2 linked regions of the Arabidopsis thaliana genome follow. The protein of the gene in region 1 interacts with the protein of each later gene in a biochemical or structural test. Each region holds a gene or a part of one and is shown in the gene's direction. Other genes may lie near its edges. The genes, in order: NTT1 and TTL3.

Region 1 (6,741 bases):
AAGCAGTAAAAAGTGTAAATTTGAGTTTCGCTAAAAGAAGAAGCTGGGCTTCGAGAATATTGTCCGTTTGTATTGTAAATGGGCCTTACAAACTATACAGGCCGCATTAACAAAATGGAATTTCAAATTATGAACCAAACTCAAATTACGAAAATCGTAACTAGGATTTTGTTTTTTTTTAATATAAACATAGATTGAAAAGAGATGTATTAGTCTTTTTCGAAATGGTAAATTTGTAGCGTGTGGGCGTTACTCACTATGTGATCATTTTTGTATAAAAGGAAACAGGAAGCTTAATAATAAGTTCAAAAATGGCGTGGCAAAGGCGGAGCCGTCGGAGGATTTTTAGTTTACGAGAAAAAAAGAAAAAGAGAGAAATATCTGAAAAATACGGGAAAGATGCAGGCAGCTGTCACAGCCGCAGGTAAAGAGAAGGTGTGTGACGTGTCTCAATAAAACACCGTTTCTCTCTATAACACGATTCTGTCATTATGTGTCTGAGCAAAAGTGCCTCCTTATTTACATCTCTAGAACCGTTTACTATTGGCCACGTGGAAGATATCGGTACCGTTGCGTTGTTAAAAAGGGTTACTAGTACTCCTCGTGAAATGATTTGGTCCCACTTCACAAGTGTTAATGTTTCTATAAGAAAAAAAAGAGAATAAAGAAAGACAGAATCGAGAGGAGAGAGTATCGGATCTTCCTAAGCCATAAACAATGCAGCAATACGCTCCATGCCTTTGGATATTTCTTCGGCAACTTGTAAAACTGACAATCGGAGCCGTCTCTTTCATCCCACGGCTCTCAATTATCCTCTCGACCATATATATCATCGACAACGTGTATATATGTGTTTACCAAATTATGTTTTTTATTTTATTTTTCAAAAAATTGCACTATTAGGTGGACCTACATATGGGTTCGATTCGACTCCAATAAACAAGCTAATGATGCCGCCCGATGACCATTCAAATATTGTTGGTAGTGGCTTTCTCCTAAATATTTGCATTTTCTTAAAAGACCCTCTTTGAAAAAATCATAATTGAAACACGACGTATCACCTACATGCACCTCTTGAAAAATATTTCCATTTTATTCTCAACGAATGTATTTATTGATGTATATTATTTCACAACGAAAGTTCGCATATATGTTTTCTAATTGGTCCCTAGAATATAATTATGCGATATTAAAGTTGGATGCAAGGGAAAAAAAGATAATTCTGAAAAAAAGATAATTCTGAAAAGGATAATTCTGAAAAGGACAAAATATTCCTCTAGAATGTATAAGAGTTGGTCATTTTTTTTTTTTGGGGTGAAAGTAAAGAGTTTGGTCATCTTATTTCGTTTGACGTCCTTATTTTGGACCGCCGTCGGAAATAAGCGGTCAACTCTGAGGAGGATGCAAATTCTTTTACGTTTAAAAAAGGGGAAAAATTGACATCAAAACAATTGAGTGTAGATGACTACTTTATTATTGACCAATTACGGAAATTCATAAATTGAAATATATATTTTGTTTTGACATTGGCCACATTACACGAATATTTTTTTTAATGAAAGTTTATTTTTAATAAGTTTTTTAAATAATAATAATAATTATATATATATTTTTTGCATTTGTACCCGAACATTACAAGTTATGTAAAAGTCGATGAAGGCACTATTTTAAACTCCCTCAGATTTTGAAAAGCCTTGAAAACTAATATTTTAATTTTAAAAACGACACGTGATTTAATATAGATAAAGTAATAGCCAATTTAGCCACCAACTCAAAGAAAAAAGTTGTAGCCACCAACTACAAAACCTCACAACAACAAAAAAAAAAAAAGAAGAAGAAGAAGTAATACCAAAAGGTCATTACAGTCATTTGAAGGGTACCCTCGAGACTATTTCTGTGTTGGCTACCATGAAAAAGCTCACATGCCTCAACAGTCAACAACACCACCGTAAATTGATCTACCCCGATACCAATTTGATAAATGCGAAAGATTAGCCTTTCCTTGCATTAAGCACAAGTTAAAACAGTGAGCGTTACCACATTTCATTTACAAGTGCAAAAGAAAATTTCAAAAAAATCCTTTCCTTTTACCGGATATATACACATCACCACATTTGTTAATATTCAATTGGCGATACTATATTCTTTCATTGCACTAACCAACCAGTCTCCTTTATCATCTCTCCATCTCATCATCCTCCTCCATTTCTCTCCCATTTTTTCTTCTGTGTATCTGCGGGAGAGAGTGAAATAGAGAGATGGAAGCTGTGATTCAAACCAGAGGGCTTCTCTCTTTACCCACCAAACCCATCGGAGTGAGAAGCCAACTTCAGCCTTCCCATGGCTTAAAGCAGAGACTTTTCGCCGCGAAGCCAAGAAATCTACATGGGTTGTCTCTATCCTTTAACGGGCACAAGAAATTTCAAACCTTTGAGCCAACCCTGCATGGGATTTCGATTTCCCACAAAGAGAGAAGCACCGAGTTCATATGCAAGGCGGAGGCCGCGGCTGCTGGCGACGGAGCTGTCTTCGGCGAAGGCGATTCCGCAGCTGTTGTAGCCTCGCCGAAGATTTTCGGTGTGGAGGTTGCAACCTTGAAAAAGATTATCCCTTTAGGATTGATGTTCTTTTGTATTCTTTTCAATTACACAATTCTGAGGGATACAAAGGATGTCTTGGTGGTGACGGCGAAAGGAAGTTCTGCTGAGATTATACCTTTCTTGAAGACTTGGGTGAATCTTCCTATGGCCATTGGGTTTATGCTCCTCTACACTAAACTCTCCAATGTTCTCTCCAAGAAGGCTCTGTTTTACACTGTTATTGTCCCTTTCATCATCTACTTTGGGGCCTTTGGTTTCGTCATGTACCCTCTCAGCAACTATATTCACCCGGAAGCTCTCGCAGATAAGCTCCTTACAACCCTCGGCCCAAGATTCATGGGTCCTATTGCAATATTGCGGATTTGGAGTTTCTGTTTGTTTTATGTTATGGCTGAGCTTTGGGGTAGTGTGGTGGTCTCAGTTCTCTTCTGGGGCTTTGCTAATCAGGTGACTAAACTGGTCTATCATTTGAACTTGTGCTGGTCTATGGATTTTTGTGTATCTTCATTTGTTGTTTGACAGATTGGTGTGTTTATGATTTGATGATAATAGTCTTTGATTGCTACCGACTTTGATGTGTAATGATGCACTGAATATGATTACAAGCGGTGATGTGTGTGTTTTAAAGCATTGCTTCTATCTCTTTGCAGATCACAACTGTGGATGAAGCCAAGAAATTCTATCCTTTGTTCGGACTTGGAGCCAATGTTGCACTGATTTTCTCAGGAAGAACCGTGAAATACTTCTCTAACTTGAGAAAGAATCTTGGTCCTGGAGTTGACGGCTGGGCAGTTTCGTTGAAAGCCATGATGAGCATTGTGGTGGGAATGGGACTCGCCATTTGTCTCCTCTATTGGTGGGTCAATAGATATGTTCCTCTTCCAACCCGTAGCAAGAACAAGAAGGTATGGTCTGCAGAAATTTGTGTTCTGTTTTTTTCACTTTATGACTCTTCTTCTTCTGATTTATTGTCTCTCTGCTACTCACTTTACAGGAGAAACCGAAGATGGGAACGATGGAAAGCTTGAAGTTCTTGGTATCATCACCATACATTAGAGATCTTGCTACTTTAGTGGTGGCATACGGTATTAGTATCAATCTTGTGGAAGTCACATGGAAATCAAAGCTTAAAGCTCAGGTAAATATATACAGCTCCTCATGCATCTGTCGATTTATTCTCGATGTTTCCATTTTCTAAGTTCCTTCTTATGCTCTGCAGTTCCCTAGCCCGAATGAGTACTCAGCATTTATGGGAGACTTCTCAACCTGCACGGGTGTTGCAACATTCACAATGATGCTTCTCAGCCAATACGTATTCAATAAGTATGGTTGGGGAGTAGCTGCAAAGATCACCCCAACTGTTCTGCTATTGACTGGTGTTGCGTTCTTCTCTCTAATATTGTTTGGCGGCCCATTCGCACCACTTGTTGCCAAGCTTGGTATGACACCGCTACTTGCAGCTGTGTATGTCGGTGCCCTTCAGAATATCTTCAGCAAGAGTGCCAAGTACAGCTTGTTCGACCCTTGCAAAGAAATGGCCTATATCCCATTGGATGAGGACACCAAGGTTTGCTAACTTTTCCTCTCTTTTAAGGAATCTATATGGCATGAAAGTTGTGGTCTTTAGCCATTGTGATGTGGTGCAGGTTAAAGGCAAAGCTGCGATTGACGTGGTCTGCAACCCATTAGGGAAATCAGGGGGAGCTTTAATACAGCAGTTCATGATCTTATCCTTTGGATCACTAGCGAATTCAACGCCGTATCTAGGAATGATCTTGTTGGTTATTGTCACTGCGTGGTTAGCTGCAGCTAAGTCGCTGGAGGGACAGTTCAACAGCTTGCGGTCTGAAGAAGAGCTTGAGAAGGAAATGGAGAGAGCTTCATCGGTGAAGATCCCTGTCGTGTCTCAGGACGAAAGCGGAAACGGTTCCCTTGGAGAATCTCCTAGCAGTTCACCGGAGAAATCTGCTCCCACCAACTTATAAAAAGTTTTTTTTTGATATTTGGTTTTGTTGGGGGGGAAAGAAAGAAGGATGATGAATCAAAAATAAGATTTTGAGAGCAGTCTCTCAAACAATCGCCCTTTTGCACCACTCACTCTTTATAGTCTGTAGCTTTTTTTTCCTTACATTCTTTTCAGTTCAATGTGGTTTCACGTTCTAAGTTTCTTCCTTGTGTGTATCGTTGAAGTCAAAAAGATAATAGATTTAGTTCTTCTACTCTCAAACTCATCAGAGTAAGAATGAGTGAAGTTGGGTATCGTTGAGACAATTGCTTTATTTCTTCTGATTAACATCAATCGAATCGAGGAGTCTTTGAAAAGAGTTATAAACAATACAAACACTGAGTGCTGCTGAGTGAGTCTCTCTATTGCTACCTGAAAAAAAGGAAAGCGTTTGCGCGAAAAAAAAAAACAGCAGGTAGTTGTACTGTTGTAACAATATTTTCACATGGTCCCGGGAAATTCAATAAATTATTTATTTTAGATACAAGATGGTTGATATTTGCACGTCGTTAGGACATTGGACTCGTCCAGTGTCTGAAAAGCCGTCTTTTATCCAACTTCCCCGGGGATTCCCAATCCTTTTTATCTTTCTTATCAAATAGAATTGTCAACCAACAGAGAGAAAGAGAGCTTTGACTTTAGATCCAATCATGGAGACAACTACAACTCCTCTGCTCCCCGGTGATCGCAGCAGATGCGGGTGGCTCCGTCGCCGTCTCCGCCTCAAAAACCCTCTTTCTTCTGAACTCTCCGGCGCTGTCGGTGATCTCGGCACCTTCATCCCCATCGTCCTTACACTAACTCTAGTCTCCAATCTTGATCTCTCCACCACTCTCATCTTCACTGGTTTCTACAACATCGCCACCGGTCTCCTCTTTGACATCCCTATGCCCGTCCAGCCCATGAAATCCATCGCCGCTGTCGCTGTCTCCGAATCCCCGCATCTAACTCCTTCTCAGATTGCCGCCGCTGGTGCATCCACTGCCGCCACGCTCCTCCTCCTTGGCGCCACCGGAGCTATGTCTTTCCTCTACAACATCATCCCTCTCCCAGTTGTACGCGGCGTCCAGCTTTCTCAAGGTCTTCAGTTCGCCTTCACCGCCATCAAATACGTCAGGTTTAATTACGATACTGCCACTCTCAAACCCTCTTCTTCTCCTCGTATTTGGCTTGGCCTCGACGGCCTTATCTTGGCTCTAGCTGCTCTGCTCTTCATCATTTTGTCCACCGGCTCTGGCAACGACAGAGAAGCTGAAGATGGAGATCTCGCCGAGACTTCCAGCAACGAAAGCCAGTCTCGCCGGAGGAGACTGCGTCTTCTGTCTTCGATTCCATCTGCGCTGATCGTGTTCGCACTCGGGTTAGTGCTCTGTTTCATACGTGATCCATCCATTTTCAAAGACCTTAAATTCGGTCCCTCGAAGTTCCACATTCTGAGAATCAGTTGGGATGATTGGAAAATCGGGTTTCTGAGGGCGGCGATTCCTCAGATTCCACTCTCTGTACTGAACTCAGTGATCGCAGTTTGTAAATTATCCAATGACTTGTTTGACAAGGAACTCTCTGCGACTACAGTCTCCATCAGCGTTGGGGTGATGAACTTAATAGGGTGCTGGTTTGGCGCTATGCCCGTCTGTCACGGTGCTGGTGGGTTAGCTGGTCAGTATCGGTTTGGGGCAAGGAGTGGATTATCCGTTATTTTTCTCGGAATCGGGAAACTGATTGTGGGTCTGGTGTTTGGAAACTCCTTTGTAAGGATTCTGAGTCAGTTTCCGATTGGAATTTTAGGGGTTCTGTTGCTATTCGCGGGAATCGAACTGGCAATGGCTTCCAAAGACATGAACTCCAAAGAAGATTCCTTCATCATGCTGGTCTGCGCCGCTGTGTCGATGACTGGCTCGAGTGCCGCCTTAGGATTTGGTTGTGGAGTTGTTCTTTACTTGTTACTGAAGCTAAGAACGTTAGACTGTTCTTCAGTAACTCTGTTTTCCCGGTCAAGTGATGAGTCGCAGGTCGATTCCGAAGCCGCTCCTCGTGATGTCTAAGATGGACTTGCCAAAATGACTTGATGGAGAAGTACTTATGACGAAATGGCGGGCAGCTGCGAGTGCATCTTATGTCTTCGATTCCATCTGC
Region 2 (17,588 bases), on another chromosome or scaffold:
AAATTTTCAAGACCATAATGCATACTAATACAGTAAACTTTTGTGTAACTAGAGATCTCGTGAGCTAACAAGGAAACAAAATAAGTTTTCATAATGCATACCACACAAAGACAAAACATTTGGAAGCCTGCAAGGTACCTCAAGTTATGAATAAACCACTTATTCTCCGATCTAACCAACACAATATGTCACCCGTCAATCTAAACTATATATCACTAGTTCATGATTCCATAGATCTAACCAGTTGTTTTACTTTACATTTAATTTTCAAAAACATATTTTTATGAGTTTCCGGATAATAACACATTGACTTGTACGAATAACTAATGTATATGTTATGGCCGCTAGACATAAGACTATTGTATTATATCTTCTTTTTCATACAATATCATGTAGCTTTTGAGTACCACAAACCACACATCTATATGGTCGAAAGTCTCGACTGTGAATCAAACAATTTATCAAAAAAAAAAAATACAAGAAAATAAGTAAGATGAGTATATAAGTTAGTTAATTGAGATCCAATTTCGAAGGCAACACGAAGCGAATAATTTAGTCAATAACTCAATATATAGAACCAATCAATAATAATCTGCTGGAGATTGAATTGTTCAATAATTGATGAGAAGGAGATTATAAAAAAAAAAAAAAATGGTCCACCCACGTTTCGCCATTTTCAATCTCTCATGATAATCTAAATAAGTGACAGAAACATACTGGCGATAGTCGTTTGTTTCTTTACACACTGATATACCAATACTTTTTTGAGTACTATACTATTATGAGCTGTAAAAAGAAAGCCAATTCATCAAGTTTACTCGTTCGTATGAGTTTTAATACGATCGTTATATGTGTTAAACTGTTAATTAATACATTATTTGATTTTATTCTAACTTTTCATACTAAAAATGCCAATCGTTTCGTTCGTAGACCTGAATTTATAAAAAAAATTGAAATGCTATTAAAAAAAGTTATGTCCCTTTAAACTTCTGATCAGATTTCAGCTGTACATATTTTGTTATTTATTGCTGCAAAATTTATACCATTATGACTAGTATTGTTCTAATAATCGTTATAAATATTTAGGCATGAACAGTTTGAGGATTCACATACTTAAATTAATACTAGAACCAGGTTAATTTGGGCTATAAAGTCTCACTAATAAAGATTTGGGAATTCGAAGGTCATTAGTGAAGTGACACAAACCGGAACTTGTGAGAATAATGGATTTAAGGCAGATTTGACAAGAAAGTGTGGAATTGAGCAAACTCATGTCGTCATAGGCTCATATACATATCTACATTTGTATTGTCCCTATCACAATACTTTATGCCCCTACCTAGCATCCGCCATATCATTCAATTCAACTCTCGACTTAAATGATTTCCTTAAATATTGAGAAAATAAAATAAGGATTCTTCTTTTTGTTGGTACTATCGCAAATAACAGATGGGTCCATTTTCGTCAACGGAAGAACCAAAGAAGGCTCTATCTGGGCCTGTAGACATAGGATTGAGCCCATTTATCCATGGATTAGATTATTATGTCACAGATGTTTTTAAAACTGAATACTCAAGATAATGCAAGCGAGAGGAGTGTGTCTTTCATGTTGAACAACCGCGAGAATCGGGTCAAGAAAACGAGCCCTGTGGTTTTACGTCTTGACCTATTAGATCTGGTGCACAATGGTGCTCCTATCAACACAGACCAGATTAGCAACTTCTCTGATTCAGTCCATATAGCTATCAAAGTATGTGCCAGCAGATACAGATACTTGCGTCAGTTTAGTAACTGAGAAAACGTGGATTTATCAGAAGCCTTTTTATTTTAATTGAATAAACTCTAGTTGTCGTGTGTGTGTGTGTGTTAAGATAATGAAAATGTCTTTATTTTGGTTCTAGACTCCTAGTCTTAGTTAAATCGAATCTAACTGGATGTGTTTGAGAATAAACCAATCAAATTAGTCATTTTTGGTATTTCTTGTTTAGATCAAGTATAAAAAGATTCATATAGTAATAAAGATTTAAGGAAAAAGGAAGAAATGGCAGAGCATAATGCTTATTTTGTCTCTCGCTTTTTCGGTTTTTTTGTATGAGGTAAGACTCAAAATTATTTGAATCACATGTTAGAGTTAGCGGCATGTGCCAATTTCCCACATTTTCATTATTTCTCTAGTGTTATTTCTCATAAGATTTTGCTGATAGAAAAGATATCATTTCACCTTTATATATATATGTAGTAGATGTTAAGGAAAAAATTACGAAAAAGAGAATAAAAGATAAGAGAAATTCGATCTCAATGGTATGATGGCGTGACTGAAGTAACAGAGAAAGACAAAGAACAACATGTGTCACCAATCATGTTGTTTAACTCTTTCCCCCACATTTCATGTTCATTTATCCTAAAAGTCTAAAACAGCCATTTGCCCATTTCTATATCCAGGTTTTTCTTTTCTTTTCTTTTCTTTCGTTTGCGTATTTCCATTAATTTCTTTTGATAAATTTAAAATGTAACTAGTTCTTCTTTGATTATACTTGATCGCACCAACCAAAAAATACATGGTAATACAAATTAAAGTCACATAGTAATAAAAAATATAGTGTAAATTATGGAGTGGCAAAATTTCTATCTAACTATAACAAAAACTGTTAATTTGGTGATAAAAAAACACACAAATAATCTCGCTTACAAGTTACAACTAGAGGGTGAATATTACCATTAACTCACTATCCTCCTTTTGTATACGTGTTTCTGCAAATTACCATTTTTATTGGTTCATTCAAACATACATTATTTTTGTTAAGAGTGTGAGGCCTTGAGAGTTGAGAGACTATAAACTTTTTTCGATAAAAAGTAGACTTAGACTAGATCTTAACTTTTGCACACAAAAAGAAAGGAGACTAGATCTTAACTAAAATATTATCAACAAAATGTTTATCTTCGGACTGGGACACATGGAAATGTGTATGTTTTTGCAGGCATATATTTGGTCGTTTAAGTCTTCATTTCAACTAGATGAAACAAAAGCAGAAACATATGAGGAATACCAAAGATTTTTTCTCTACTGGAAACGACAAAAGGTTCATATTATCATATATAGAGTATTGGAAAATGTTAGCTCTTGTGATTACTAATTAGTCGTAAGGTATTAAGAATACATATTGCCAACAGTGAACTGAAGAAACTAGTGAACCCACACAAAAAAAATATAGTTCAACTTTTCTTTTGTTAAAAAGTTTCAAACGTTATTTTCTAGTTTTAAAACGTCATTTACCAAACTCTACATAATTGCATTAAATCAAAAGGTATGCGTATAGTTTTACCCTTACCCTTCAAAATTTGAGACATGGTGCATGTGGAATGTTTTGCACAGCACACATACACTCCCTCATTTACGAAAAGTTCATCAATTATTTTCTATTTTATTTTAAAACATTTTCAAAGAAAACAAGTAACATACTTACAAATAAATATATTAGTTTTACTCCCTTTTATTAGAAAATTAAGTTTTGTAACTAAAAGTGATGGTATTTTGATAACAGATTATAAAGAAATCTCAAATTTATTAAGCTTTTTCCAATAATAGCTACTACGATTATTTATCTTACTAGCTAGTACTATTAAAAAAAAAAATCTCTTAATTAGTACATGAATAGGTATTCCAATATACCTTTAGATTTCAATTATGTATTGTTTTAAATTTTAAAGAGTGGTAATATGAAATAAATTAAATTGTTGATGGAGATGATGATGAAGGTAAAGAAGATTCATATCATATCAGCATATGCTCACATGATAGAGCATCTAACCTCAGGTGGCAACAAATAACATCATGGCAATATATAATTGATCTATTAAATTTAGTTATACATACGGATATGATCAATTATCCAAACATGCAGCTGTTTTTCTAATTTTAAAGATATTTCTTTTCTCAAACTACATGAGTCTACAGTTCTTATAACTTGGCTTCTATATATAATCTGAAAGCCATCATCATACATCCATTGGCCAAAGACTAGACCAAAAGTATTACCACCAACGTTTTTGGTCACGTACCAGTTTTAGAATTTAGATGAACTATTTCACTCTAAAGCAAAGTACTTGTTTACTTTAGAAAATTAGAGTAAACGAATGTTAACTTAAAAAAATTTCGGGTTGACAAAAATAAAATGCGAGTTGGACGGTAATGCGATCTACATATATTCTTTGCTTGGACTGACATTATGATCTTAATAATTTGTAAATAAAAATTAAAATAATATTGATGAAACATAGGATACCCTTAACTAAGAATCATAGTGGTTAAGACAAGCGTGGATTAGCTTTTAGTAAACTGATTAATCGAATAATAAAGAAAACCAGATAATTTTCTTACGTTTTTGTATATATAATCAAGAATCATGGAGATACACATAGATAAGAAAGATTATAGCACGAACACGAATGCATGTATTAGGCAATAAAAATATCGTTAGTTAGAAAACAGTACATATATAAATAATTCGTGTAGTATTTTGACTAAGGAATTGTCTTAATAGAATTAAGCAGTTACAAAGTTTTATTTACACAAATATTTTTTCCTCTCGGCACACCTTGAATCAAATCAAGCATCGTTTAAATTAAATTACTGTAATGGATTAGATAAGTACTAGTAATAAGTAAAGTATGTTTGCCGACGGGTGAAATTGTAAAAAAGATTGGATACTTTCTTTTGTTTGATATGAAACTCGAATCTCGTGATTAAAAAGATGGCCCGACAGTGATTTAATGAGAGTCAACAAAAAAGATGTAAAACACATTATTAGCAACTAATTGTACTTTATTTTTATAATTTTCACACGTTTCCTCTTTTGTCTATTTTGATTGGGGTCATTCATGCTCAAACATTACAGCCTGCGCATTGTATTATGTTTTGTATGTCTCCGGCGGAACAAACAATGTGACATGCGTTTGAATAATCAGTCTAATTGTATGATTGGTGTGTTCATTCGCTATTAATGCAAATGGTGTCCAAATTATTAAATTTTGAGTTAAATCCGTGGAGAAATAATATTCCTTTCATTTTAAAGCAAGTGTCGTTTTAGACTGATTTTTTTTATTTATGTCGTTTATGAATTAAGATAATAAAGAAGTATTAATAAAAATGTGAGACATAAATATATAATTCTGAAAGCCAATCTTATCTTCAAATGCACATTTCACTTATACGTATTCAGTATTCTGCCATTCAACAAACCCATAATTTATTTTGTCTATGGTAAAAAAAACGCATATAGTCAGTCATATTAGAATTATTTTACGAATGTAATTTTTATTGCTACTTATCATGTATGCTTAAGTGAAAATAGTGAGTCACTATCGTCATTCGTCACCCATCTCATGCTTGGCGTTGGCGGGCTCGAGGTCAGTTTTCGAATAATCCGTCGGTGTTAACAGAATAATCCGTTATTGAAAAACTAAACGCCGTTAACGGAAACTGTGTGCTTAGCTGGCAGACACAGCAGAGAAGTCAATAACCAGCTGGCATGATCACCGTTTTGCAATTATCCCCATAATTACCGCAACACCCTTCTATTTTTTTATCCTTTTTTTTCTTTAATTAGTATTTACTATTTATTATCGTTATGTTCTTAATTATCCTATTATTGTTTTAAATATTTTTATATAGCGAAATAATTTATTTAAGAAAAAGTCAAGAGAAAATTAATTGACTATATATGGAAAATAATTTGAGGGTGCGAGGCATGACCTAGCTAGAGAAAAATAAAATAAAATGAAGGCATGCATGGTGCTTGGTTCAATGTAATTAGTGGTTCCGTAGGTCTGAACGGTACGGACTGGCCATGATCTACTAGAAACAGTAAATAGTTAATACAAAGTAATTAATTATGAGTTTCAGCAAATTAACTACTCTATATCGAATGAATTAAACAGTAATCCCCAGAAAAGAAAAAAAGAGAACTATGACAGCCTTTTCAAAGGACACCCGAAAACCAAAATGAAGATTTTAAAAATGCCAGCTCTGCAATAGATATTGAACTTTCATTTGTAATTTTCTTTATTTTTGTTGCATTACACACATTTGTTATTTACATTTAAATTGGCTATTGCAATAAAAGATTACTTTATATGCTTATAATAGTACAATATATATGGTGGCTTAAACAAAAGTTTGGCTGGCTTGATAAATACATCTTACATCGAATGACGATTTTACCCTCTATCTTGCTGTCTCTGAGTACGAGGGTTGAAATCCTTACGTGGCATTTTTTCTCATTTTTCTTGGTCAAATAGTTTAACCAAACTCCAAAAGTCTGTGATTTGTTGACATACTTCTAACTAATTTTTTTTTATAATAAAAATCTATTGTATCTGTAGAAATAATCATTAGATTTACTTTCTAGAATATAACTTCTTATTTCTTAGTAATTTGTCCAGATTTTTTTTTACAACTAACTAAACACTAGTTAAAATGTTAATGTCTAAAAAATACCATTACAATTATTCAATTTAATAAAAATTGAGTCGGCCAATTTAATGCGAGACTTCTGTACAACGACCCTAAAAGTGGGTTTGATAAATGAAACATATTGCAACAAAAAAATACTAGTAATAATGATAAAATAGTAACATGTCGTGGCGCATTGAATATCCTACGAAGGTTTAGTGTTTACTTTTAAAAAATCCTAATATGATACTAGTACATATAGCTAGCTTGCCTTGCTTATGCTATTGCATAGTCTGTATTAATAAATGATGTTATACATTTCGATAGAGTAACATTTTGGGAACATGAGTGAACGTGCTTGAATCTTCGTGCCCTTGACGTCAGAAGCTAGTAATTTTAAATACTAATTAACATTCATACAAATTAACAGATACAATGTACTATATCATAATTCGTTTCCGTAACACAACGCAACAATTTGAAAGTAGATGTACTTTAGTACTTAGTTAGTGTGCACCAAAAAAAAAAGATGTAGTTAGTTAGTAAGGGGTTAAATGTTTTAATTTATTAAGAAAACTTAAATTCATTAAATGTTAGAAAAAGTCTAATTAGTTTATATTCGAACACTGTGCTCAAAATTAAAAAGTCAACTATTTTAGACTATAGAGTTTATTAATTAATAATAAATTCGATAAATCACCGTATTATTTTCTTCAACGACAAGTAGCCGTGAAGACACGGGAGCGAAGAGAGATAAACAGAAGATGAAGAAGAAGATCAATGTCATAATCTTCAGGGAGATAAATCCGTAATCTTTATTAATCAAGGTTAATCCTTTTTTTTTTCTTCATCTTAATTCTTTGCGTCTTCCTTTTCTATTTATCACGAGATCTGTCTTTCTTTTTCCTCTTCTTTCTCTCTCTTCTCTCTGAAGACAGTACTTGTTTCTGTCCGGCGTTAAAAGCTTCGGTGGTGGTCTCTTGACTTCTCTGAGAAGAAGAAAAGGAAGCTGAGTCTCATTTTAGATTCAGCTCACGAGGAAGTGACGACGATGTCTCATTCTAGAAGACTTTCGTTGGAACCTGCTATAGATTCAATCACTGGTCGATTTCGTGATTTACAGAGAAATGATGATGACGTCAACAAACCTGATTTTCGAGAACTCGATCTAGGTTCTCCTGTTTCTACCTTAATGCCACGTGGCTCTGCTTCTTCTTCCGCTGCTGCGACTCCTACTAGCAGCTCTGGCTCTTCTGGCTCTGCTTCTGGTAAACCGTCGGTGAGTTCTCAGATGGCTAAACGGTTAGATGATGCTTACAAGAGTCATTCCGGTGAGCTTTCTAGCCCCGGATCCGGAATGCCGACCACGACCCGGATTCTTAAACCGGGTCATAGAAGATCTTCTTCTACTGGCACGCCTTTGATCTTCTCTGGCTCTAGCTTTACTTCAGCAACGAGTCACACCTCGCCACAAGGAGGTGGTAGCGGTGCTACGTCGGCAGTGTCTCCCAATACTGGCGTTTTACCGGCGGGAAATATTTGTCCGTCGGGTCGGATCTTGAAAACTGGAATGGCGTCTCGGACTTCAAGTAGGACTGAGACTCTATGCACAGGAACTGGTAATTACGGACATGGAAACGTTGTACGCAGCGGCGGAGGAGGAGGAACCAGCGGAAAGGCGGTGAGAGTGGCGGAGAATGGCGAAAACCCGGAGGAGTTGAAGAGAATGGGGAATGATATGTATAGGAGAGGGAGTTTCTCTGAAGCTCTGTCGCTTTATGACAGAGCAATTTTGATTTCACCGGGAAATGCAGCTTACAGAAGCAACCGTGCCGCGGCTTTAACGGCATTGAGGCGGTTAGGAGAAGCCGTTAAAGAATGTCTTGAAGCTGTTAGGATTGATCCTTCTTACTCCAGAGCTCACCAAAGACTTGCTTCTCTCTATCTCAGGTAATCTTGAGAGGCTTTTTGTTTTGTTGCTGTGTTTTTAGTTTAAAGATTGAGAATTTGAAATGATGGAGTGAATTGTTGCTTTAGATTGGGTGAAGCTGAGAATGCAAGACGTCACATTTGTTTTTCTGGTCAATGTCCGGATCAAGCTGATCTCCAACGGCTACAGACGCTGGAGAAGCATCTCCGACGATGCTGGGAGGCTCGAAAGATTGGAGATTGGAAAACCGCGATTAAGGAAACCGATGCAGCCATTGCAAACGGCGCTGATTCGTCTCCTCAGGTGATTACATATCATTGTCGTATGATATGCTTGTAAAGATTTTTGACTAACAGTGAGGTTTTTTCTATTGGTTTGGACAGCTTGTAGCTTGTAAAGCAGAAGCCTTTTTGCGTCTTAAGCAAATAGAGGATTCGGATTTTTGTGTATCTTGCATTCCAAGATTGGATCATCATTACCATTCTCAACCGCAGGTGAAACTCTTTGGTATGGTAGTTGAAGCTTATGTGCTCTGTATCCAAGCTCAAGTTGATATGGCATTAGGAAGGTGAGCTTTCGAAACTCAGAAATGTTGTGATTCTTTGGATTTTTGTTTCTCCACCGGTGAGTGAGTAGATATGATAGGTTTGTTGCAGATTTGAGAATGCGGTTGTCAAGGCAGAGAGAGCTGCGATGCTTGATCAAACCAATCCTGAGGTTGTATCAGTTTTAAACAATGTGAAGATGGTTGTGCGGGCACGTACTCGTGGTAATGAGCTATTTAGTTCGGGGAGATTCTCGGAAGCGTGTGTAGCTTATGGAGACGGTCTCAAGCAAGATGACTCCAATTCGGTTTTGTACTGCAACAGAGCAGCGTGTTGGTATAAGCTCGGTTTGTGGGAGAAATCTGTTGAAGATTGTAACCATGCGCTCAAAAGCCAGCCTAGTTACATCAAGGCACTTCTACGTAGGGCTGCTTCATATGGAAAGGTGAGATTAGAACTTACTATAATCAGTTATTGACAGAATTTTGCAGTGTATTCGAATGACAATGTGTGTTGAAATATATAGCTTGGTAGGTGGGAGGATGCGGTTAAAGATTATGAGTTCTTGAGAAGAGAACTTCCAGGAGACAGTGAAGTTGCAGAGTCTCTAGAGAGAGCGAAAACAGTGCTAATGAACAGAAGCCAAGAATCTAAAAGCCTAGGTTTCAATAATGAAGTTGAAGCGGTTTCGACTTTGGATAAGTTCAAGAAATCCGTAGCACTTCCCGGTAAGTCTAATGAGAAACTTCAATTTGTCTCAAAAGGTTGAGATTTTGCGTGTCTTGCTCAAGTTGGAAACATTTCTCTTCAGGTGTCTCTGTATTTCATTTCAAATCATCATCAAACCGACAATGCGAAGAAATTTCTCCATTCATCAACACTTTATGTCTTCGGTATCCATTAGTACATTTCTTTATGGTAAGAACAAGAACACATTCCAAATATGCTTTTTATATCACATTTTCTTCTAAACTTATATGTATAACCTATGTTTCTCAATGTGTTAACTGAGAAAATGAAATGTTATTAGGTGGATGTGGAGGAGAGCATGGCGTTGGCGAAAGCAGAGAGTATCAGGAAAGTTCCGACATTTAAGATGTACAAGAATGGAGATAAAGTGAAGGAGATGGTTTGTCCTAGCCATCAGTTTCTAGAGGACTCTATAAAGCATTTCCTCTTATGATTGAAAAAGCCCTATCATCATTATCTGCTTCCCTATGATTCGATCCGAATAGCCTATTTAAAAGACTCAGAAAGCATTCTATGTGAAAGATGGGAAAGAGCTCTTCTGTCAAATTCAACAAACTATTCATTCTTTCTTCTTATTCGATTCTAATTCTTCTTTATTTATTTTTTGGAGTTTGGCTCTGCTTGCTTTGGCATATTACGTATGGGTAAATGTTCGCAATGATTCAAGAAATGCAAGCTTCATTATCTATTTACGCTTGGCTTGTGTATGCTAGATTATTCACCACACCAGTGAAAGAAACTGAACAGAGTTTACTGTATTTGGTGTTGTTGATTCAATCAGTGACAGAATATGAATCAGAGAGTACCGAATCCAATCAGCTTCTATCTCAGCAATTCAGAAATGAAGGAATATAAGTTTCAAGATTGGATCCATAAGGATAGATAGTAAGACGACAGTAGTGAATTACAAATAAGAGTGTCCTGAGACAGGCATGCAATACATTCAAACCAGAGAGACATTTAGGGCTAAACCAGAGTACAAGTAACATAGACAATCATGATATAGGGAACAGAGAAACTCTACTTTTCACTATTATTCACCGCACATTCAGTTCTTGAAACATATTGTCCAGGTGCACACATATCATATCACTGCAACATAAGCAAAGAAATCTTGAATCAAAATCGGCTTATTTTAATTTGATTTACCCCGAGTAAAGGAATCTCTTATACTTACCTCTGCATCGTCTCCACCAGCACCAGGTTTGGCAGAACCATTCGTCTTATGAGCATCGTCTCCTGCACACAAATGCAAAATTAACAGTTGAAGTCCAAGTGAAAATATATATTGATAAAAACTGGCAATCGTCTTCCAGATGCTATTTCAACTATCTATCATCAAGAATGTCCATGGATATGCTTAAATTGTCTTATAGATTCATTGGTTTCAAGTAAATCAACACTACACATAAGAAATGACAATGAACAAATACACCTAGAATGGAAAAACACCAAAGAGCAATTGTGTAAGACATCAAAACATCATATTTAAAGAGTGTGCTTAGGTCCAGAGTGATGATCATTACCTCCTTCTTCTGAGATGTCAGAAGTCCACAAGGTCAGATTGTCCCTAAGGAGTTGCATTATTAAGGTGCTATCTTTGTAGGATTCCTCGTTCAGAGTGTCAAGCTCTGAGATAGCTTCATCGAACGCCTGCTTAGCAAGGTGACATGCCCTGAAGAGAAAAGAGCAAGAAAAAAAAATCTCAAATCTCCAAAACAATGAGTCTTTTTTCTTATCTTAGTAGTATAATTAACAATCTGTAAACCTTTCAGGTGCGTTCATGATCTCGTAGTAGAAGACAGAGAAATTCAAAGCCAAACCCAATCTGATAGGGTGTGTTGGAGGGAGCTTAGCCTCAGCAGCAGTAGTAGCAATCTGTAAAGGAAAGAAACAAACAAAAACTCAAAAGTAAAGTAACGAAAAACCAAGAATGTCCAGTGATCAATAACACTACAAATCACTATAAGAACACCTCATAGGCTTTCAAAGACTGATCAGCAGCCTCTTTCCTCTCGTTCCCTGATTTGAACTCAGCAAGATAGCGGTAATAGTCACCTTTCCTACAAAAACCAAAACAAAATCTTCAGACACACAACCTTAAGTTAAACACCATGTAAAGAAGCATTATAGAGCTTACATCTTGTTGAAGAAGACAGTAGATTCACCCTCGGAAGCCGAAGGAATGAGATGCTCATCTAAGACAGACATAATATCAATGCATATGTTAGAAAGCTCTAACTCAACCTTCTCCATATACTCTTTGATCCTCTTTACATTAACATCATTCCCTTTCACTGCTTCCTTTTGTTCAATCGACGAGAAGATCCTCCACGAAGCTCTCCTTGAACCAATCACGTTCTTGTAACCCACAGAGAGTAAGTTCCTCTCTTCCACCGTCAGATCAACATTCAATTTCGCAACACTTTTCATTGATTCCACCATTTCTGTGAAAAAAAGAATTCACATTTTTCAATACCCATCTGCTAAAAATCAAGACTTTTGAATCTAATTCCTTGATAAGAAGTTCCCCATTCGTAAACTCTCAATCAAACCAAACGATTGAAACCCGTTCGATGATATCAAAGTCCAGTAAAATCAAACAGAAATCGAGCTCAAGAAGCTATCAAAAAGACCTGATTCGAGTGAGAAGAAGAAGAAGAAGATTCCTTACCTTCATAACGCTCAGCTTGCTCAGAGAGCTTAGCGAGGTAGACGAAAGTGTCACGCTCTTTTCCAGAACCCATGACTGATTTTCAAGATTCTCGAAAAATCAAAAGTATCAAATTCCAAAGCTTTTGACGACTGATCCGAGTATGTATATCTCTCGGCGAACGCTGTTCTTTTGTTTTATTTTTTCTCCAGAGAAGAGAGAGATCTTTGAGACGCGCGTAGGGACACAAGCGTAATTAACGCGGGTTAAACGGGGTAATTACTACTCAATGGTCTGTGTCAGTAAGTGATTTTATTCATTATATTATTCCTCGTGGGATCCATTTGGTTCTTCTCTGTCTAACCATATCATGACATGTCATCACTCTCTATCCACCAGTCCACTCATTTTAATTGTACTTTATCTTCTCAGCACAATTTTATATTTTATTCAAATAATGGACTATATAACATTAGAAGGAATTAATCTTCATTAGGGAATAACTAAGGAACTGTTTTTCCAAAAAAAATGAATTTAATGACATACCTATTTTGTCCAAATTTTCGTGTTTAAAATTTAGAGTTTATTTTTTGGATTTAAGTGTTTAATTTTTGGAGTTTATATATTACGAATGGTAATTTCAACATCTTAGAACGAAAAGAAAGATTTCTTTTCTTGTTTCTTTCAGAAATATATTTCCTAGATATGGTAACATAACAACAATAGAATAACACAAGAAATTATCATACTCATTAAAAAGCGTACGGGATAGGAGTTGGAGAGATTTCATCACATCATAGAACATAATACATTACATAGCGTAGATTTAGGGAATGGTACAAGAACGTTTTAAACTGCCTTAACCGGTGTTTTGCATACCAGCAGCGATACCCTTCATGGTGAGGATAACCGTATCTTCAAGTCCCGGTGCGTATTCACTCTTTGGATTCAGTTTCACGAGCTCAGCCGCTGGACTAGACTCCATGTAGTCCTTAGAGAGATGTGGCCGGACTTTGACGTGGAAGCTTGGGTCACGGATCTGCTTGAGTGTATAGGCTTGACACACGTTCAATGTCGTGATGTATGGGTCACGAAGCTGCAGCCTTTGCCTCAAGTAAGGGTCACCTTCTAAAATGTCTTTGTGACCTGCAACCTGGAAAGGTACGAAACGCACGGGTTAAGTTAGCTTGTATGGTCTGACACCGCATGGAAACCGGATGGGACATCTATAATGTGGTTATAGTGGAAGTAAGTAATACCTGGAGGAGGAGGCGTCTGGTCTCTTGGTAGTTAACTCGAAGTTGTTCACCGAATGGTTGAAGTTCTTCAGAGACGAGGAGGCGGTCATACAGAGCCGCAATTCCGGGATCTCCTTTGGCGAAAACCATTTCGACTAGATCAATTGTGACACGGAAGAATGGCCATTGGTTGTACATCTCTTTGAGCATGTTGAGATTCTTACTGTCCTTCTGTATCACGCGTTTGAATGCTCCTCCAAAGCCAAGCCACACGGGTAAGTGAAACCTCGTCTGAGTCCACGCAAAGATCCACGGGATTGCACGCAGCGACTCGATTCCTCCGCTTGGTTTACGTTTTGATGGTCGGCTTCCTATGTTCATCCTTCCATACTCGAGCTCTGGTGTTGCCTATAATACAAACCCAAACCTGAACTTAGACTCTCTTTTTTAACTACAATTTGTTTAAGAGAGGAGTAATTGAGCTGGTTAAGAACTTACCAGACGGAAGTACTCAACAAAACGGGGCTCCTTGAAGACAACAGAACGGTATTCTTCAGTGGCAATTATAGCCATTTCATCCATGAGGACACGCCACTCAGGCTTAGGGGAAACCGGTGGATGCATTCCATGCTCAAGTGTTGCAGCTGTGAAACGCTGAAGAGTCCTAAAGCATAAGTGCTCTTCTCCGAAAGACTGTTCAATAACTTCACCTTGAACCGTTACCCTCAATTGCCCATGAATGGTATCCGGAGGCTGAGACAAAATAGCAAGATGGGTAGGTCCACCTCCTCGTCCAACGGTCCCACCTCTTCCGTGGAACATTGTCAGCTTGACTCCGTATTCTTTTGCCACCTTCACGAGCTCTTCTTGAGTCTTGTATAACTGCCAAGCCGCTGATAAACGACCAGCATCTTTGCCCGAGTCAGAGTACCCGATCATGACTTCTTGCTTTCCATTGATCCTGTTTCTGTACCATTCTATGGAGAAGAGACGGGCAACTGCAGCAGGTGCGGATTCTAAATCCGCTAGCTTCTCGAACAACGGGACAACTCTCAGAGGATCAGTGATCCCGCATTCGCGTTGCAAAAGCTCAACAGCGAGCACGTCTGATGGAGCAGTGGCCATTGAGATAATATAAGCACCAAAACTATCCGAAGGAAGCTCAGAAATGACTTTGAAAGTGTCCAACACATCTGCAACCTCTTCGGTTTTGGGAAGATCCGGTCCAAAGAGAGGGCGTTTCCCGCTTAGCTCAGATAACAGCCATTCCTGTCTTTTATCCTCCGACCATTCTTTGTAAGAACCAATACCTAAGTGCGTCGTGATGGCATCCAAGACATCAGAGTGTCTTTCAGATTCTTGACGGATATCAAGTTTCACAAGAGCAAGGCCAAATGTTGACACTTGGCGTAAGAAATCAAGCAGGCTTCCATCAGCAATAGGTCTGTCACCGCAATCACAGAGCGACCTGTAACAAAGCTCAAGTGGCTCCAAAAACTTTGGATAGAAACAGAAACAATCAAAGGTTAGAAAATTATAAAATCAATCAAACAAGAAACAAACAACAGCTTTGATCTTAGAGTGGTTCAATCCATATTTTGGTTCTCTTTTGGTTTGGGATTTTCAAATTTAGAAAAATAGTTACCAAATAAACTATGCATCAGTATGGTATAGCTTCCATGTTTAATCAAATACGATTCTAATTTTCAAAGGAATTGAAGTTGCAGTTATATGGCTTAAACATCTCTAGTTGATCTGCAAACAGCACGAAAACACACCTGATCCACACTTGTGAAAACCGCGTCTTCGGGAACGTCCGAAACTCCGCTTGACAATAACTGACGTGCACGCTCACGTGTGTTGTACAGCTTGTCCCTCACATCTCCAAGAATAGCTCGGTATGGCTCATTCGCAGGGATTTGTTTCCAGAATTCTACATCCATCCAAAAATCGATCATACATCAAACATAATATAACAAACTGTTAACATGTCGGACACATAAAAAAATGTCAAGAATGTAACACACACCTATATAGTGTTTTGCATCCCTCTTCGCACATCTTTGACGTTCTGCACGAACCCGAAGTTCCTCATTGCAACGCCACATAGACATCTGCAAACAAACACATCAAACCAAAAAAAATAAGATCTCTGTCCTTAACATTAACCAATAAACTAAATTGCTGTGATGTGAATAAAATTTTTGCTACCTCAAACATAAGATCTTCTATCTGGGAGAAGTAGAGATTAGCAGCCATCATTCTAGCTAATAAGCATACATCTCTTGTAACTTCAGGAGTTACTCGCGGGTTTCCTAGATTCAGAAAATGTTTTCACTCATAAGAACCAATTCATGTTTTAATGGTTTGAGATAAGAAAGAAGCAAGAGTGTACCATCACGGTCTCCGCCCATCCAAGAAGAGAACTGAATGAGAGGCGCATTGTAAGGAACACGCTCGTTGATTCCAATGTTCTTTAAAGCTGTGTCAACACGTCTTAAGAACTTTGGAACTCCTTTCCAGATTGTCTCATGGAAGTAGCTCATCCCTGCTCTCATTTCATCTTGCGGTGTAGGAGGAGTTCTTCGGATTTCATCTGTGCGAAAAGCAGCTTGAATCTGGTGCAACAAAAACAGAGTTTTAGTAGAATTCATGCAAAAGAAGCTTTATTGAGTTCTTTAGTTTCGCTTACCTCTCGTTGCAGAGCTTCATCGAGTTCTTGTTTGTCATCAGGAGTAATGTCCTTTGCATATAACTGCGTCAAACAATCACGAATCCTGAAAACATTTGAGACAAAAAAATACATCAGTCAAGTCACACACACAAGGAATCCAAAATGTCAAGACACTAAAAAAGTTAAACAAACCTTCCAAACTTTTGGAGCAAAGACCGACGAACAGATTGAGTGGGATGAGCAGTTAAAACCAAGTCAACAGTCTGATTCTTAAGAGCATCAAAGACCTCTTCAGGAGTCTTGTTAAGCTGCAAAAGCCTCTTGAGAGTCTCTTCAATGTCAGATTCCGTTGTTGCAGAGGCCTCATCAGCGAAATCACCTTTCTTGAGTTTCTTAATCCTACGCCGGTAAGCAATCTGGACTTCCTCAGCCAGATTAGCCAAGCTAAGCATGTTGGAGAATGATTTAGTGACAACAATTGAATCCCCTGGATCCAAACTCGTCAGCATATTTCCAAGCTCCTCAAGCTTCTCAGTGTTGCGGTTTCCATCGTAATCAGCTGCAACTTCGTAGCATTCTTGAACCTTTTAGACAAAACAAAAGACATTATATGATTCAGTAAACTGAAAATCATCAGAAACAATCACAGATGCAAACTCAATGAGCCACTGAAGCAAACAAATATACTCACAAACCCAACAAAAACAGAGAATAACATGAACAATCTTAACACAGTGTGATCTGATCTGCTCGATATCACTGAAAAGGATTCAACTTTATGGATAATCTAAGCAGAAACAACAAACCCACATGATGATTCACTGATGGGTAACCCACTATGTAACTAAAAGTTCAAAATTTTAGCAAAAATCCAGTATTTAAGAAAGAAGAAAGAGTGAGAAAAGGAGGAAAACATACGAATTCTCTGACATCCTCGCCATGCAAATCCTGAAGAATATCGAGAAATCGATCCAGTAACAGAGCATCGTACTCGATAAGCTTGTCGTCTTCAGAAACCTTGCCAGGAGCAAGAAGCCTGAGCTGAGCATCAATAGAAGCCATCTTCTCCAAATTTCTCGCAGCCATGGTTTGGTTGATGCTTTTTCCTCTCTCTCTATCTGATTAAAAACGCTTTTGGTTAAGTGAGGGAGAGATTCTCAATAATTTTCCAGATTGACCACAATCGGAGAAAATCAAGGAAATATATCCGATAAAGCTGGAACAAAAAAAACAAAAAAGATTCACTTTAAGATAAAATTATGGAGTTTATAAAAATTTAAACGAGACAAAAAAAAAAAGAAGGAGTGGCGTATTACTGGAGTGGGAAGTGTAGTATTCTCGTGATAC

Evidence for each region.
Region 2: the proteins of NTT1 (region 1) and TTL3 form a complex in vitro, tested with the Arabidopsis thaliana proteins (one study listed by BioGRID).

Annotation. Positions count from the first base shown.
Region 1 is NC_003070.9:30,189,696-30,196,436, forward strand, and holds NTT1 (nucleotide transporter 1), read left to right. Parts: upstream 1-1,842; 5' UTR 1,843-2,258; coding exon 2,259-3,047; intron 3,048-3,250; coding exon 3,251-3,505; intron 3,506-3,594; coding exon 3,595-3,738; intron 3,739-3,819; coding exon 3,820-4,167; intron 4,168-4,246; coding exon 4,247-4,585; 3' UTR 4,586-4,910; downstream 4,911-6,741. Other genes in the region: MOT2 (sulfate transmembrane transporter), read left to right, coding at 5,256-6,650; AT1G80315 (uncharacterized protein), read right to left, coding at 5,729-6,037. UniProt on the Arabidopsis thaliana protein: May function as an ATP importer.
Region 2 is NC_003071.7:17,721,353-17,738,940, forward strand, and holds TTL3 (tetratricopetide-repeat thioredoxin-like 3), read left to right. Parts: upstream 1-7,126; 5' UTR 7,127-7,502; coding exon 7,503-8,401; intron 8,402-8,488; coding exon 8,489-8,684; intron 8,685-8,764; coding exon 8,765-8,949; intron 8,950-9,037; coding exon 9,038-9,371; intron 9,372-9,452; coding exon 9,453-9,654; intron 9,655-9,737; coding exon 9,738-9,844; intron 9,845-9,956; coding exon 9,957-10,109; 3' UTR 10,110-10,484; downstream 10,485-17,588. Other genes in the region: GRF9 (general regulatory factor 9), read right to left, coding at 10,812-10,915, 11,203-11,351, 11,445-11,554, 11,652-11,739, 11,817-12,123, 12,351-12,423; PPC2 (phosphoenolpyruvate carboxylase 2), read right to left, coding at 13,189-13,482, 13,589-13,975, 14,066-15,064, 15,346-15,500, 15,597-15,681, 15,779-15,882, 15,963-16,185, 16,260-16,344 and 2 more. UniProt on the Arabidopsis thaliana protein: Involved in osmotic and salt stress tolerance. May play a role in the control of meristematic cell size during osmotic stress. May function as an adapter protein for BRL2 and may be required for signaling affecting leaf vascular tissue pattern formation.